Linked DNA regions of Cricetulus griseus. The protein of the gene in region 2 interacts with the protein of the main gene of each other region in a pairwise test. Links are inferred from orthologs where the notes say so. Each region holds a gene or a part of one and is shown on either strand. Other genes may lie near its edges.

Region 1 (4,885 bases), on a different chromosome or scaffold from region 2:
CAAGCTGCACGTGAAATGTAAGCTTCATTGATCCTGTACCCTGTGCTGTGCCACACAGACTGGTGTCCGTCCACACGTACTCTCTCCTGTGCCAAGAGAATGACCTAGTGTCTTAAGTATTCTCCTGGATATAGACATACCTTAATAGGTCTGTAGGGTTTTGGTCAATTTCCCATGTGTGTCTTTTCCACAAATGAGTATATCTTGAAGTGTGTGTGTGTGTGTGTGTGTGTGTGTGTGTGTGTGTGTGTGTGTATGTGTGTGAGAGAGAGAGAGAGAGAGAGAGAGAGAGAGAGAGAGAGAGAGAGAGAGAGGGCGTGCGTGCGTGTATGTGCATACATGCACATGACTATATATATATTTCCCCCTTTGTCCAGGAGTAAACTATGGCCTTGTATGAATTCAAGCTCCAGAGAGTACACTTGGTTAAAGATCTATTTGGAAAAAAAATGATCCAGATGATAAGATGCCCACAGTCTGAAAGGGCCATTCACAAAAAAGTCTGCCAAGCATTCTATAGCCTACAATTGTTTTTAACCGCTTCTTACACAGTTTACTTCTATGGGAACAAGAGTGTGACTTAGAAGAATAAAAATGAACTGCCCCAACAGAGATTATACTAACACCAAACATACATCTGCTGGATAATGATCAAATTGTGCTAGGGTAGAGCCAAAACTTCTGAAATCCCTGGAGGTAGAGGTGGGAATAAACTAGTTAAGTATTCATTACAACTGACCTTGAGTAATTTTATAGGAAAGATGACTTGAAGAATATAAAGCTTCATAAAAGTAAATACCCCTACTGCTTACAAATGCACTTCTTTGTTCCAATGTGCAGGATACACACCCTTGCAAGGAGAAATCAAGTCAATGCAAAGTACTTCAAGAGAATTAAACAAAAAGGGGTTAGCTGTATTAACATCATAGTCTGAAGAGCATAAAGGTTCTTTACCAAGTCCCCCATCTCCTGTTGCCTGCCATCCAGTCCCTATCTCCTTTGTGTACTGCTTGCCTCCATGTGTATCTCCCTTCACACACAGTGTGTGCACAAGGGCGTGTGCACACACGTCATAGATGACACTGCAGGACAAGCATTTGATTTGGTGTGGGAACAATTGAATTTATGACTACCCTATCCTCAAAAGCACCAAATGTCCCATATTAAGATTTTTAAATAGTAATCTTCCCTTTCACATTTAAAGAGCACTAATGTCCACAGTTTCACGTTTTAGACCAGCTAAAAGTGCATTACTCTTGTAACCCAGCCAATATGTAATTAATTCTACAAAGAAATAAAAAATCTTTCTAGGAAGGGACACAGGAAATGAAGTGTTTTCATTGTATGAAATGCATTGTGGACACACAAATCACCAGCACTATAAATAAATAAAAGTTGCATGCGTGCTTGCCTTACACCACATAGAAAACACTAGTACATTTGCACACCATGGCATTTTAGCCTGGGTTCCTGAAAAACACTGTGTAAATACAAGGGACTGTGAACGTGTGTGTGTGTGTGTGTGTGTGTGTGTGTGTGTGTGTGTGTGTGTGTGTGTGTATGTGTGTATCTGGTGTGTCAGGGAGAGGTTGGGAAGCACGAGGGACGGCACTTGCCTTTTGGCAGCTATTTAAGAAAATTCCTTTTCTCTCTCATTCATTCTTTCTAGCCTCAGTGTCTGGCAAGGTCCTTACAGTTACTCACTGGCTTTTCATTCTAAAGACAGCCGACATGCTCTTAGAGCTTCCTATGGTGTTATTTTTTTCCCACACACTTAAAAAAAATCAAACCATTCAATATATGTTTTGAAATTTTTTAAGAAAAGAAAATCATTGGCCTATTTCCTCACTTCAGAGACCCCTTACATATCTGGCTAAATGTGATCCTTTGTTATGCGTCCAAAAATATCTCCACCACATGATATTGGAAAATAATAAATTATTCGTATTCCAAGGATGTCACAGCTATTACCATTCATTTGCTTTACCTTAGTGAGTCGATGTCACACTCCTCTTACTGAGTCCTACACGCTTGCCTTTTTCTCTGCGAACACTCCATTAATAAATTTAAGGGCTGAAAAGAGGACACCAAGCGCCCTTCATGCACAATGGCACTCTCCAAGACTGAGACATCTCCAGCCACGGGAAAGTTAACCTTCCAGCAAGATGCCCACCCCAAATCGGCCAAGGAAGAAAGGTGACAGAGGGGCTGCGGAGCGCAACCTTTCATTTCTCCACCTCCAGAGAAAGGGAGGGCTTGGCAAGAGAGCGGAGTAGGAAGGTGGGCGAGTGGGAGACCGAAATGGGTGCCGGGGTGGGTGGGTGTGGGCGGGATGGGAAGATAGAGAGTTCGGGGAAGGTGGGGAGCTCAGCGCAGGGTTCGAGAGCAAGGCGGGGTTGGCGAGCGAGACGGGCGGGCGGGCGCGGTGGTCAGGGCGCGAGGGGGCCGGTCCTCACCATTGAACGCCCCTGCTTCCGCGGCCTCCTCCTCCTCGCCGTTTTCGGAGTCGGAGCGCATGGGCTCCTCAGCGAAGTTGACACCCTTACTGGGGGCGCCGCCCCCGACGGCGGCGCCCGCGTTCCCCCAGGTCCTGCCCTCATGGCCGAAGCAAGCGGCGCCCTTGCGCTCGTTCTCCTGCTGCAGCCGCGTGAAGTGCTGCAGCGCGAACTCCAGCAGGTCGGCCGGCTGGTGCCTCAGCACCTCCACCGTGAAGCCCTGCAGCAGCTCCGTGAGCCCCGCGGGGATCTCGATGCTCATCCTGCCTGTGCACGCCCCGGCGCCTGGGCGCCGCCCTCGCACCCTGTCCGCTGTCCGGTCTCAGGCTGCGCGGCCCCGAGCGAGCGCCCCCGGCGCTACCGGCTGCGAACGCGGCGCCCTGGGCCCCTGGCGCGGCTGCTCCGTGCGGCGGCGGCGGCGGCAGAGCGAGCACAGCCCGGGAGGGTTGGCAGCATCTCCAGCTCCTCCCGCTCCCTCTCCCGCCACCACTGCACCGCCCCACGCCCGGCGCCCCGCCCCCGCCCGCGCGCCCACGTGATCCCCGGAAACCATGGCAACCCGGCAGGCGGGTTCAGCGCCACTTGCTAAGTGGCCTCTGGGTGGAGGCAGCGGGAACCTAGGGCGTGAGGCCGACAGCTCTCAGAGCAGATCCTGCGCATCATTCTGCCCAAGCCCTCCCGGAGTTGGCGTCGTGCAATTTGTTCTGAAACTTCAGCCTCCACCTTGGTGGTGGCTTTTCTTCTCCTAGAAGCCAACAGTAAGAGAAATGTGCATGGTGTCTTTTGTTAAAGTCACACAGCTGTACTGGTTCTCTTTTGGATACAGGAAATATGGCTACTTATTTGTTACAACATTTTCTTTCACTAGGTTTTTTCCCGCTTTTCAGTCACCTGGCTGTGATGGTCAGCTTGCTGTGCAGATGTTCTGCCACGGCATGCTTGGTGCATTTCTTGCTAGTTGCTGAGACAAAGGCAACATTTATTTATTCAATTTTTATTAATTTGTTCGAGACCAGCCTGGTCTACAAGAGCTAGTTCCAGGACAACCTTCAAAGCCACAGAGAAACCCTGTCTCCAAAACACCAAAAAAATAAATTATTATTATCAAGCACCCCTCCCTCCTCTCCTCCCACTCCCTCCCCATCCCGTCTGCTCCTCGGAAAGGGTAGGGCCTCCCCTAGGAAGTCTACTAAGTCTGTCCCATCATCTAGTTGAGTCAGGACCAAAGCACCTCTTCAACCCCACCCCGTTTCTACGCTGGGCAAGGTGGCTCTCCATATAGAATGGGCTCCACTAAGTCAGTCTGTTTATGCATTAGTGTTAGGTCTTGGACCCATTGCCAGTGGCCTCATATATTGTCCCAGTCACACCATTGTCAACTATATTAAGGGAGTCTAGTTCAGTCTTACGTAGATACCCCATTTGTCAGACCTGAATAAGTGATCTCTCACTGGCTCGGGTCACCTGGTTTCCCCATCATGGTCTTGACTCCTTTGTTCATATTATCACTCCTCTCTCACTTTGATTGTACTCCAGGAGCTTGGCCCATTGGTTAGTTGTGGATTTCTGCATCTGCTTCCATCTGTTTCTGGAAGAGGATGCAAGCTCCTCTGGGGTTGTGGATTATAGGCTGGGTATCTTTTGCTTTATGTCTGGTATATTTGTCTTTCTGGTTTTGGGTTACCTCACTCAGGATGGTTTTTAGGATGCCATTGTTTCTTAACACTGAATAGTACTCCATTGTGTAAATGTACCACATTTTCTTTATCCATTCTTCAGTTGAGGGGCATGTAGGTTGTTTCCAGGTTTTGGCTATTACCAATAATGTTGCTATGAACATAGTTGAGCAATGTCCTTGTTTGGTGAGTGTGCATCCTTTGGGTATATGCCCAAGAGTGGTATTGCTGGGTCTTGAGGTAGGTTGAACCCTAATATTCTGAGAAATTGATATACTGATTTCTACAGTGGCTGTATAAGTTTGTACTCCCACCAGCAAAGGAGGAATGTTCCCCTTTATTCCACATCCTCTCAAGCATAAGCTGTCATTGTTGTTTTTGATGTTAGCAATTCTGATCAGTGTAAGATGGGATATCAGAGTGGTTTTGATTGGCATTTCCCTGATGACTAAGGATATTGAGCATTTCCTTAAGAGTCTTTCTGCCATTTGAGATTGTTCTGTTGAGAATTCTCTGTTTAGATCTATACCCCATTTTTAAATTGGATTATTTGGTAATTTGATGTCTAGTTTTTTCAACTCTTTCTATATGTTGGAGATCAGCCCTCCATCAGATATAAGGTTGGTAAAGAATTGTTCCCATTCTGTGGGGAGCCGTTTTGTCTTGTTGACTGTGTCCTTTGCTTTACAGAAGCTTCTCAGTTTCTGGAGGTCC
Region 2 (4,886 bases):
CGTTTAGTTACATTGTATTCTAATGTATACCAGAGACTACAACAGGCAATCTCAGACTGCCATAGCTTAGGACCTATGAAAAATGAGTTAAGTTTTCACTTTTATTTTTTAAGGCGGTGTCTCCTTTATAGCAGCCCAGGTTGGCTTCAAACTCAGGTCCTTCAGCCTCACAGTTCCTCTTTTGCTTGATAAAGTTATGAGTTGCTGTGCCTGTTTGATATTTTAAATTTTTTACATTTATGGTGTGTGCACACACACTCTTATGGAGGTCAGAGGACAACTTGTAGGAGTTAAGTTTTCCCCTTCCACCATGTAGGTCCCAGGAAAACAACTCAAGACTGGCATGCTTGGCAGCAAACATCTTTACCTGCTAGGCCATCTTGATGAACACAGATTTTATCTGTATTTTGATACAAGGTTCTGCTGTCACCCAATCCAGCCTTTAATTCCTGGGCTCAAACAATCCTGCCTCAGCCTCTTGAATCGCTGGTAGCACCAATATACACTATTATTCACAGTATGTTTTTATCATTTTAAATTAAGAAAGTATGGCTAGGGTTTAACTCCTGTGGAGGCAGCTTAAGAATGAATGAAGGCTGGACATGGTGATGCACGCCTTTAATCCCAGCACTTGGGAAGCAGAGACAAGCAAATCTCTATGAGTTTGAGGCCAGCCTGATCTACAGAAAGAGTTCTGGGTCAGCTGGAGCTACACAGAGAGACCCTTGTCTCAAAAGCTAAAACAAACAAAAGAATGTCTAAGTTGAAACATTCTGGGGTCCAAGAGATCTTTGGGTAGACAGATCTGGGTGTGAATTCTGCTGCATGATGTCATCTGTGTCAAACTCAGATGGCTCATTTGGACAAAAGTCATCAAAATAAGTCTGTCTACAGAGCCCATTTAAGTTAGCCCTCTTGGATGCCTGATAAACAGTAGCTGGATTTCATCCCAACAAAAACAGCTGGCCAACTCGGAGACTGATCTTTTTCTTGGACCCCTTTATCCTCTGTAGCTCTTAGTTTCTGCTGAATGTGTCTGATATGCTTGAAGCTTTTTCAGCACTATGTCCCCTCAGTTTTCAAAAGGCTACTGCAATATACACCCCACTGCCAGAACCATCTACCTCCTGGTGGGCCTCACCTGCCAAGGGGGATGGCCCTCCCCTTCTGCCTGGGCCCCTCCAAGCTCAAGTCCAAGACCTTTTTGGGCACTACCCACCTGCTCCTGTCATCAAGCCCTCAACTACAAGCACTTGCCTCTCCGTCCCCCGCCCATCAGTGACATGCCAGGCCTCTTTAGACTGCCCCGCTGTTTGAAAGGGGGGAGGGGCAGAAAGTTCTTGGGCTTCGGTGGCATTCTGGGGACTCAAACACTGAGAAGGGCAGAGCTGGTCACAGCCCCTCCCCCCTTTTGGTGGGTCTGACTATTTCTGGGTAACTGAAGGGGATCTGCTTTAGCTTAGAATTACACCACTTTAAGAGGTGAGAGCATTGGGAACAGGCACAAGGTCCTTCTGAAGGCATTTCAAATACAGAATCAGTTTCTTTACCTGGCTGGAAAAATTCAGCATGTTTGGGGTGGGGAAGGGGGGAGTAGAACACACCTCCCTTTGGATGAGTCCAGGGTATGCACAGTATCCATCTGTCCTCAACAAACCAAATCATTAGCTGTCACCTTTTGCTGGGTGTCGTTACCCTACCCTTGCAATTCCTTTCTGACCATCCCAATTCAAGTCGAATGAGCCCTTGCTAACACATTTCATTCTCAGCCTTGAACCAGGCAGAGCGAAACAGTCCCAGGGACTGGGTGAATGACAGAACTGCAGTTGTGAAACGACCATTTATTGAGGGGCCTTCCAAGGAACCCAGAGCTTAGGGCAGGCCAGGAGATGGGAGGGTGCTCTGCCGATTTCCCCCACCCGCAACCCAAGAAAGAGGACAGACGCAATGGCTCTGAGCGAGACCAGCTAGAACTTGGATCTGGAAGCGCAGAAGCAGCTCTCTAGGTTCATAAACAGTCTGCCCACCCCAGCCAGGGCCAGACGCTTACATGGAGGAGGCAGAGTGACAGGATGAGAGGGGCAGAGGGACCCAGAAAGATCTTGTTCCCCATGCCAAGTGACACAGAAAGGGGAAAACAATGCAGGAGGTGGTCCTGGGAAACGCTCATGGGGCAAGGGGGCTTGGAGATGGGAGAATCGAGCAGGGATAGGAGAAAGATGGCGGGGGCTGGAGGGGGAGGGGTGTGGTCACCAAGTAGCTAAGGTCCCTGCAGAGTGGACCCCACAGCACTCCCGAGATTGGCAGGAGGCTGGATCAGGGTCAGGCATTGGGGCGCTGTGTGGAAAAGGTGAGTGACGAAGTGTGGGGGGATTAGAATATGGGGAAAGGGACTAGGAGAGGAGGGGGTGGGGTGGTGACAGGGCCCCATCTGGGGCCCCGGCGGTCATGCATGCAATGGTTGGCAGTGACAGCTGGGTGGGGGTGCACGGCCTTTAACGTGGGGGATGGTCGGCCATGGGCACGGGAGCCCTACCAGGGGCAAGGTTCCTCTGCGGTGCTCGGACCCCAGCGTGGACAGGCAGCAGGCAGCAGGCAGGGGTGCAGGCGGACAGGATGGGGGGGCACATGGGGGAGGGGCCATGCAGCGATGGCCAGAGCGAGGGCAGGCCGCAGCAGCCGGGACTAGGGTGACGGCCGGGAACTCACCGCTCTCCTGCTCGCTGCCCTTCTTGGCGGCGGCGGCGTTGCCCATCGCGGCGGCGTCGCGGCCGGGACCGGTCCCGGAGCTGCGGCGCGGCGGGTGCTAAGGCGGCCGGCGTCCCCGGAGCGTGCTGGGCAGCGGAGGCGGCGGCCCCTGGGGCTGGCTGCGCTGGCTGCGGCGCCACGACCCCCGCCCAGCCCCTGCTTCCCGCGTCTCTCTGCGCCCGCCCGCGGGGGAGCCTCAGCCCAAGTCCTCTGTCCGTGACGCCCCCGCACCCCGCCGCCCATTGGTTCAGGCCTCCCTGACAGACAGCCTCGCGCCGTTGTCCATTGGCCCTCCGAAACCTTCCCGCGCTACCATAGGCTCCCGGATGCTTGACGCGAGCTGCAGACGCTCAGCCACTCACGGGCTCGCGAGGCCGTAGTCGGGCGGTCGGATGCATGTGATTGGCCGAGAAGCCCAACAGGGCTTGGGGCTCGCCCTGCGAGGCCGCCGATTGGCTGAGGCGCGCGGCCTCAGTCAGTGTCAATCCCAGGGTGAGAGGGCGGGGTAGCTGCGCAGGCTGCGGCCCGGGGGGGCAGGCGTGCGGGCGGGGCGGCGGCTGGAGGGTAGCCGGGCGGCAGACGCTGCAAGGTGCGGGAGGCGGCCCCAGCGGACGCCGGTGCGGCACCGTGAGCCCTGCAGTCTCCCGCCCTGCCCAGTGCGGCAGCGGCCACGGGCCAGCGGAGGTTGACGCCACGGCGGGCCGGCGCAGAGGCTTGTCCACCTGCCAGCGGGGGAGGGGCCGACTGGCGCCGCGGGTCAGAGGTCGCCGGGCGCCGTTCGGCGTCATTCATAAGGCCTGACGCTGGGCGGCCGTGACCCGGCCAGCTCGGAGTTCTCCTTGTTTGCTCTAGCCACAGCCGGAGCTGCAAGAGGATGCTGGATCCAAAAGTGAGGGCAGGCTGGGAGGAGACTCTTAATGTCCCGTTTACTGTGGCCCAGCCTTAGGCCCCTGAAAAGTAATAACGAGGACACTGGCCAAGTACATGACTTCTCGTTCCCAGCACATTGGAACTGTCACACTCCCATTTGATGGAGGAGGAATGGTGAGACTGGTTCCTTGCTCTAGTCCATTTGCCTGGACATCGCTATCTGGAACCTGCCCTCTGGGGACAGGCAGGGAGCCATTCTCGTTCCTTCTGGATGCCCATCTTTAAATTTTGTTTTCATGCAATGCAGGGGTTGAACACAATGCCTACCAGCTGCTAAGCAAGCATTGTTCCTTGCCCAGGGTACTCTTTCAAGTCTGTGCTGCCAGAACAGGGTCAGTTTCCCACTGTGCCACTGACATCAGGGGCCTGAGCACTCTGCTGGAGGGGTCTCCTACACACTAGTTGGTGTTCAGAACCCCCACCCTAACACACTGGATGCTGGTATACTTCCATCTTCCTGCTGCCTGGAGCAACATAAATCATCTCCAGACTGTTAAATGTACTCTGGGAAACAAAATTATCCCCACCCCCACCAGAGAACCTCTGCAGTAGAGCATGGCCAGGGTGGAAGGTGCTGAGGGGACAATGGGCTAGCTCTCCCTGATGATAAAGGGTAGCTGGCCCTGAGCAACATAAACCCATAGATTCAATGCAGTACTCAGCAGTTCATACCCAACTTTCTAAGCCAGCAACTGTATGCACTCCTGCTACTAGATCAGCTACAGTCCTACTCTCCCTTCCAGAGAGTAGGGCTCCTCTGGATTATGGGAGCTGGCTGAATAGCCAAATGCTCCATCTCTGATTTGGGGAGTTACACCATAGCTAAGTGAAAAATTATCTAAATTGTGGCTGTGTGTGCCCTTGGCTCACAATGTTGCTCTATGCCTGTGGGTCAAGGTCATCAGTTGGAACAGCTGGTATACTTCAGCTTTGGCAAAGCAAAACAGTCTTTGAGCCTCAGCTTGTGGGGCAGACTGTACAACCAGATGAGACTAATAGGGAAGCAAGCAAGAGAAGGACCAGCTACTTTCAGGACAAGAGGTCACTCATGACATGGTGAAAGATACAGGAGGACAAAGAAACAGCATATATAAAAAGAAAACAATTACAGAGGCTAGAGGGATGACTTGCACTGGCTGCCCTTCCAGGGGATCTGGGTTCAATTCCCAGCTCCCACATAGGAGTTTACAACCCTCTGTAACTCTAGT
Region 3 (4,871 bases), on a different chromosome or scaffold from region 2:
TGCCCCATTTAAAACATGTAAGATCTGATAATGTGAGAAGATTAGGACTTGGAGTTGTGAATTTACCTTTCCAAAAGGTTGGCTGTAGGATTGCTTAGAGAGAGGCAATTCCCTAGGTATTATGGTGCACTGGGAGGCACACTCAGGTTTTCTGGGCATTAATGGCAATGTCTGAATCTTGGAAAACTTGAGTCAGTCAGTCCAAGGGCAGAAAAGACCTATTGCCACTGCTTGTCTTTGTCATGTTTTGTTTTTTTGTTTGAGATGGTCTTATGTAACCCAGGCTAGCTTGGACTCACCATGTAGCAGAGGCTGGCACTGAACTCTGATCCTGCTACCTCCATCTCCCAAGTGCTGGGTATCAAGCATTCACCATGCCTGACTCCAGACTGCCTGTCTAATGCGGCCTTCATGTTCTGGGATTAGAAGCATGGCTTTGAAGGAAAGGATACCTGTTATGGGATTGTGAAGTCAGAGCAGTTCCTGCTTTTGTTGTTGTCCTGAAATTTATCATTCATTCATTCATTCTTCACAACTTTGCAATAAGCACCCAGCCAACACACTGGACCCTGCTTCTCCACCATTTAACATCCAGCACTTCTCTGTGGGGTTAAGGACCATATTCAGGAATGCACAGCTATTTGTAATCACAGGTCTACCTAGCCTAGGGCCTCTACACTGAGTACCTTAGTGAGGTATTCAACTGTCAGTTCACAGCAGCACTGAGGGCTTGGGTTTGTGCCAAGTCTGTATGGGCGGTGCTAGAGAAGATCTTAATTAATACTGGGTAATTACCAGGTGGTGCTTAACCATCTCCAATACTCTTCAGTTCTCACATCAACAGCTAATCAGTTGCTGGGTGGTTCTGGCAGGGAGAAGACTTTATTCTCACTGGGTCTTTGGCCAGCACCGAGGTTGTGGCTGGATATCCCAGGAAGGGTATCTTCTTACGTTCTCTTCAAGTTTGGTGACAGGAGGAAGCAAGTTGGGTAATAGCCTGGCCTCTCCAGTTCACCTCTGCCCTCTTCCCAGAGGCAAAAGGCAACAGTGCCTGAGGTCTGCTCAGCTTTATTAAATAATGTGGCCCAGGGCCCAGATTAGGGAGTGGGGAGGAAAGAGGTGAAGAACGGGGTGGGAAGTGTCCAAAAGAAAGAACAAGGCCAAAGTTCTGTCTCGCTCCGGGCCGATTCCCTTTTCTCACTGTCCACATTTGGTTGCGCAAGCTCTTTCAGGGTTATTTCTCTGCCTGAAGCTTCCAAATGACTTATCTCGTTGAAACTTTTACTTCCTACAAAGCCTTACCATTTTGACATCTCATGACCTCATTCTAGACTCCTTAGGACCTTGTATTCAGTTGCACTGTTCTACCTGTCAGTCAAGGTGGTCCTGGCTTGCCCAGGTCTTTGTTCTCGCAGTACCGCGTTAGGAGACGACTTTCTTCCAGTTCGTCCTCTGGACGAGTCCCATTCAATTCTGGGGGTTAGCATTAACGTCATTCCTTAGAGTGAACCCTCTGCTCCTCCACTAGAGCAGAAATCAAGGTGAGGTGGCCCTGTGTCACATCAGTGTCCCTGGCGCGGTCGAGAGGCGCTCAGCATGCTCTGAAAGCGTAAGTGAAAGGTCTTTGTGACCAGGGGAGACGCACTAACCAGCCCGCCTCGCAGCTGGGTCACTCTTTCCTCATCCCCGGGGCCTCCCGCACCTTGACCATGGACTGCTCCAAGAGCGGACGGCCCAGCGGCGCACGCGCACTGTGGGCCATCTCTCGGCGGGGACGCGCACGCCCGAGGCCGCGTGCGTCACAACCCGGGCGCCTGCCGCGCCCGTCCAGCTCGCCAGCCGTCGGCCGCGGCGGCGGCGGCGGCGGCGGCGGCGGCGGCGGCTGCGGCGGCTGCGGCCGGGTGACAGCAGCGGCGGCGCCAGGCTGGCTTGGTAGCGGAAGGGTCGCGCGGCCGGCACAACAAACGCAGAACCGGCCGAAACAAGGCGCGACGCGAGAAAGGCCGAGGCGGGCCGCGCGGGAGACGGCGGGCGCCGAGTGACAGGCCGGCGTGAGGGAGTGCGCAGGTTGCAGCCGCCGGCGGCCCCTAGCCCGCCGGTCCCCTCGGCCGTCGCAGGCATGAGCCACATCCAGATCCCGCCGGGGCTCACGGAGCTGCTGCAGGGCTACACTGTGGAGGTGCTGCGGCAGCAGCCGCCCGACCTCCTCGACTTCGCGGTGGAGTACTTCACACGCCTGCGCGAGGCCCGCGCCCAGGAGCCAAGCACGCACATCACCGCCACGACGACCTTTCACACGCCGGAGTCTAGCGCGGTCGCCACCGAGGAGGACAAGGAGAGCGACTCCGACTCGGACGACGGGGATCTGGAAGGTAGGCGGGCGGGGCAAGGCCGAGTTGCGAGGTGGGCACCGAGCCGAGGGTCCAGGGTGGGACCCGAGGGCCGCGCGGCGGAGCCGAGGGCTCGGCGCCCCGCCTTGCCCTGGGCCGAGACCCGGGAGCGCTCCAGCCGAGCTGCTGAGGTTTCCCGGCGTGTGCCGGTTCCAAATTGAGCTCCGCGGTTCTCTGCGCCCGAGCGTTCACAGAGAGTGATTTGTCAGATTCAGCCTTGAATGAAGCGTGCGCGTTCTTTGGTCCGCGTGGTGGCGCGGAGCTTAAGTCGGTCCCGCCAGAAGCTGCTTTGCCTTTGCTTTAGACCCCATAGCCTGCTTCCTTTCCGAAGGCTAGAGCATCCGCACTCGGCAACTTGTCCTGAATAAGCAGCATGATAACTTTATTTGCAAAGATTTAGGTTTTGGAAGAGTTACTGCTGAAAACCATTTTTTTTTAAGACTAGGTCAGTAGCCTTGATTAAACAGAAGCTCAGTAGGTAGCTCAGGCTGCCCTCGAACTTGTGACATCTTAGATGCCTCTGCCTCAATGAAAACATTTCAGACAAACACACGAGAAGGCAGATAAGCTGAACCCCTTCCTTAATGCTGTCACTCACACTCAACAGTTGAACCAACCCCCTCAATGCTGTTATATTCAACAGTTGTCAGTATTTTTTTTTAACCTTTTCCCACCCTCCCCTTGCTTAAGTATTTAAAGGAAATTTCAGTTAGGTCATTCCATACATGGTCGGTTAATTATGCATTTCCTTTTCTTAAAATATAATCCCTTAAGAATTTAGAAATTTAAATTTAAATTTAAATGAGTTAAAACACTTGAATAAAATTGGTGAGCATAATACCTTGTTTAGGGTGTTGGTTGCAGGAAAGTATACAAGTAGCATTCTGTTCATATGATTTAAGTGGGAATGGCAAGGAGCAATTTCATTTACTTGGTTGCTTCCACTTGTGCTTTTTGTTTGTTTGTTTGTTTTTTGTTTTTCGAGAAAGGGTTTCTCTGTGGAGCCTATCCTGGAACTAGCCCTTGTAGACCAGGCTGGCCTCAAACTCACAGAGATCCACTTGCCTCTGCCTCCCGAGTGCTGGGATTAAAGGCATGTGCCACCAACGCCCAGCCCACTTGTGCTTTTTTTTAACTTAATAGAATTAGCCTGCTTTTTTAAATTTTTTTATTTATTTTAATTACTCTTCTCTCTTTCTCTTGTTTTTTTGAGACAAGGGCTCACAATGTCACCTTGGATGGCCTGCCACTAACTGTGTAGACCAAGTTGGCCTTGACCTCATGAAACCTGCCTGCCTCTGTCTCCTGAGTGGTGCTGGGATTAAAAATGTCCATCCTATGCCCAACACCTCTGGTTTGTCTTTGATGGTGTGTGTGTGTGTGTGTGTGTGTGTGTGTGTGTGTGTGTGTGTGTGTGTGTGTGTGTGTGTGTGTGTGTGTGTGTGTGTGTGTGTGTGTGTGTGTGTGTGTGTGCGTGCGTGCGTGTGTGTGCGTGCGTGCGCGCGCGTGCCACATGTGTATATTTACTGTAGTTCCCAGCTCTCAGAGGTCAGAATACATCAGATCCCCTGGAGCTGGAGTTACAGGCAGTTGTGAGCTGTCTGATGTGGGTGCAGAAAATGCACCCAGGTCCTTTGCAAGATGAGCCGCACTCAGCTGGGCAATGGTGGCACTCATCTTTAATTCCAGCTCTTGGGAGGCAGAGACAAATGGATCTCTATGAGTTCGAGGCCAGCCTGGTCTACTGATTTGAGTTCCAGGATAGGCTCCAAAACAATACAGAGAAACCCTGTCTCAAACAAAACAAAAAAACAACAACAAAAAAAGGAGCAACAGGACTCTTGCCTGCCAAGGTAGTTCCCAACTCCTTGACCTCCTTTTGAACAAAACAAACATGGTTTTTTTGTTTTGTTTTGTTTTGAGACAGGGTTTCTCTGTGGCTTTGGAGGCTGTCCTGGAAGTAGCTCTTGTAGACCAGGCTGGTCTTGAACTCACAGAGATCCACCTGCCTCTGCCTCTGCCTCTGCCTCCCGAGTGCTGGGATTAAAGGCGTTTAACACCATGACCCAGCTAAAGTGGGTTTACTTTGGTTTTGTTTTTTTGTTTTTCGAGACAGGGTTTCTCTGTATTGCTCTGGCTGCCCAGAAACTCACTCTGTAGACTAGGTTGCCCTTGAACTCAAAGAGATCCAGTTGCCACTGCCTTCTAAGTCCCACCATGCATAGTTTACTAGGGTGGTTATTAATGAAAAATAGAACACACACACACTCTCTCTCTCTCTCTCTCTCTCTCTCTCTCTCTCACACACACACACACACACACATACACGGGTGTGAATAAGTTGAAACACCAAATTGGACTGTAAAATGTCCAGCCTGTAAGGAAGTTATTTTAGTAGATCCTCAACAGGTTAAATATTGAATTACTCTAGAGTGGATATGTAGTCAAAAGATCTGAAAGTGAGTGGTCACATACTTGCAT

Evidence for each region. The genes of interacting proteins can lie anywhere in the genome.
Region 1: the proteins of Prkaca (region 2) and Prkar2b interact in binary tests that used the Homo sapiens proteins (3 or more experiments, as listed by UniProt). The link is inferred for Cricetulus griseus from reciprocal best matches to the Homo sapiens genes PRKACA and PRKAR2B.
Region 3: the proteins of Prkaca (region 2) and Prkar2a interact in a protein complementation assay, tested with the Homo sapiens proteins (2 studies listed by BioGRID). The link is inferred for Cricetulus griseus from reciprocal best matches to the Homo sapiens genes PRKACA and PRKAR2A.

Annotation. Positions count from the first base shown.
Region 1 is NC_048598.1:169,644,117-169,649,001, forward strand, and holds the start of Prkar2b (cAMP-dependent protein kinase type II-beta regulatory subunit), read right to left. Parts: upstream 2,988-4,885; 5' UTR 2,758-2,987; coding exon 2,457-2,757; intron 1-2,456. UniProt on the Homo sapiens protein: Regulatory subunit of the cAMP-dependent protein kinases involved in cAMP signaling in cells. Type II regulatory chains mediate membrane association by binding to anchoring proteins, including the MAP2 kinase.
Region 2 is NC_048596.1:160,443,207-160,448,092, forward strand, and holds the start of Prkaca (cAMP-dependent protein kinase catalytic subunit alpha), read right to left. Parts: upstream 2,922-4,886; 5' UTR 2,756-2,921; coding exon 2,710-2,755; intron 1-2,709.
Region 3 is NC_048597.1:216,865,483-216,870,353, forward strand, and holds the start of Prkar2a (cAMP-dependent protein kinase type II-alpha regulatory subunit), read left to right. Parts: upstream 1-1,884; 5' UTR 1,885-2,119; coding exon 2,120-2,372; intron 2,373-4,871. UniProt on the Homo sapiens protein: Regulatory subunit of the cAMP-dependent protein kinases involved in cAMP signaling in cells. Type II regulatory chains mediate membrane association by binding to anchoring proteins, including the MAP2 kinase.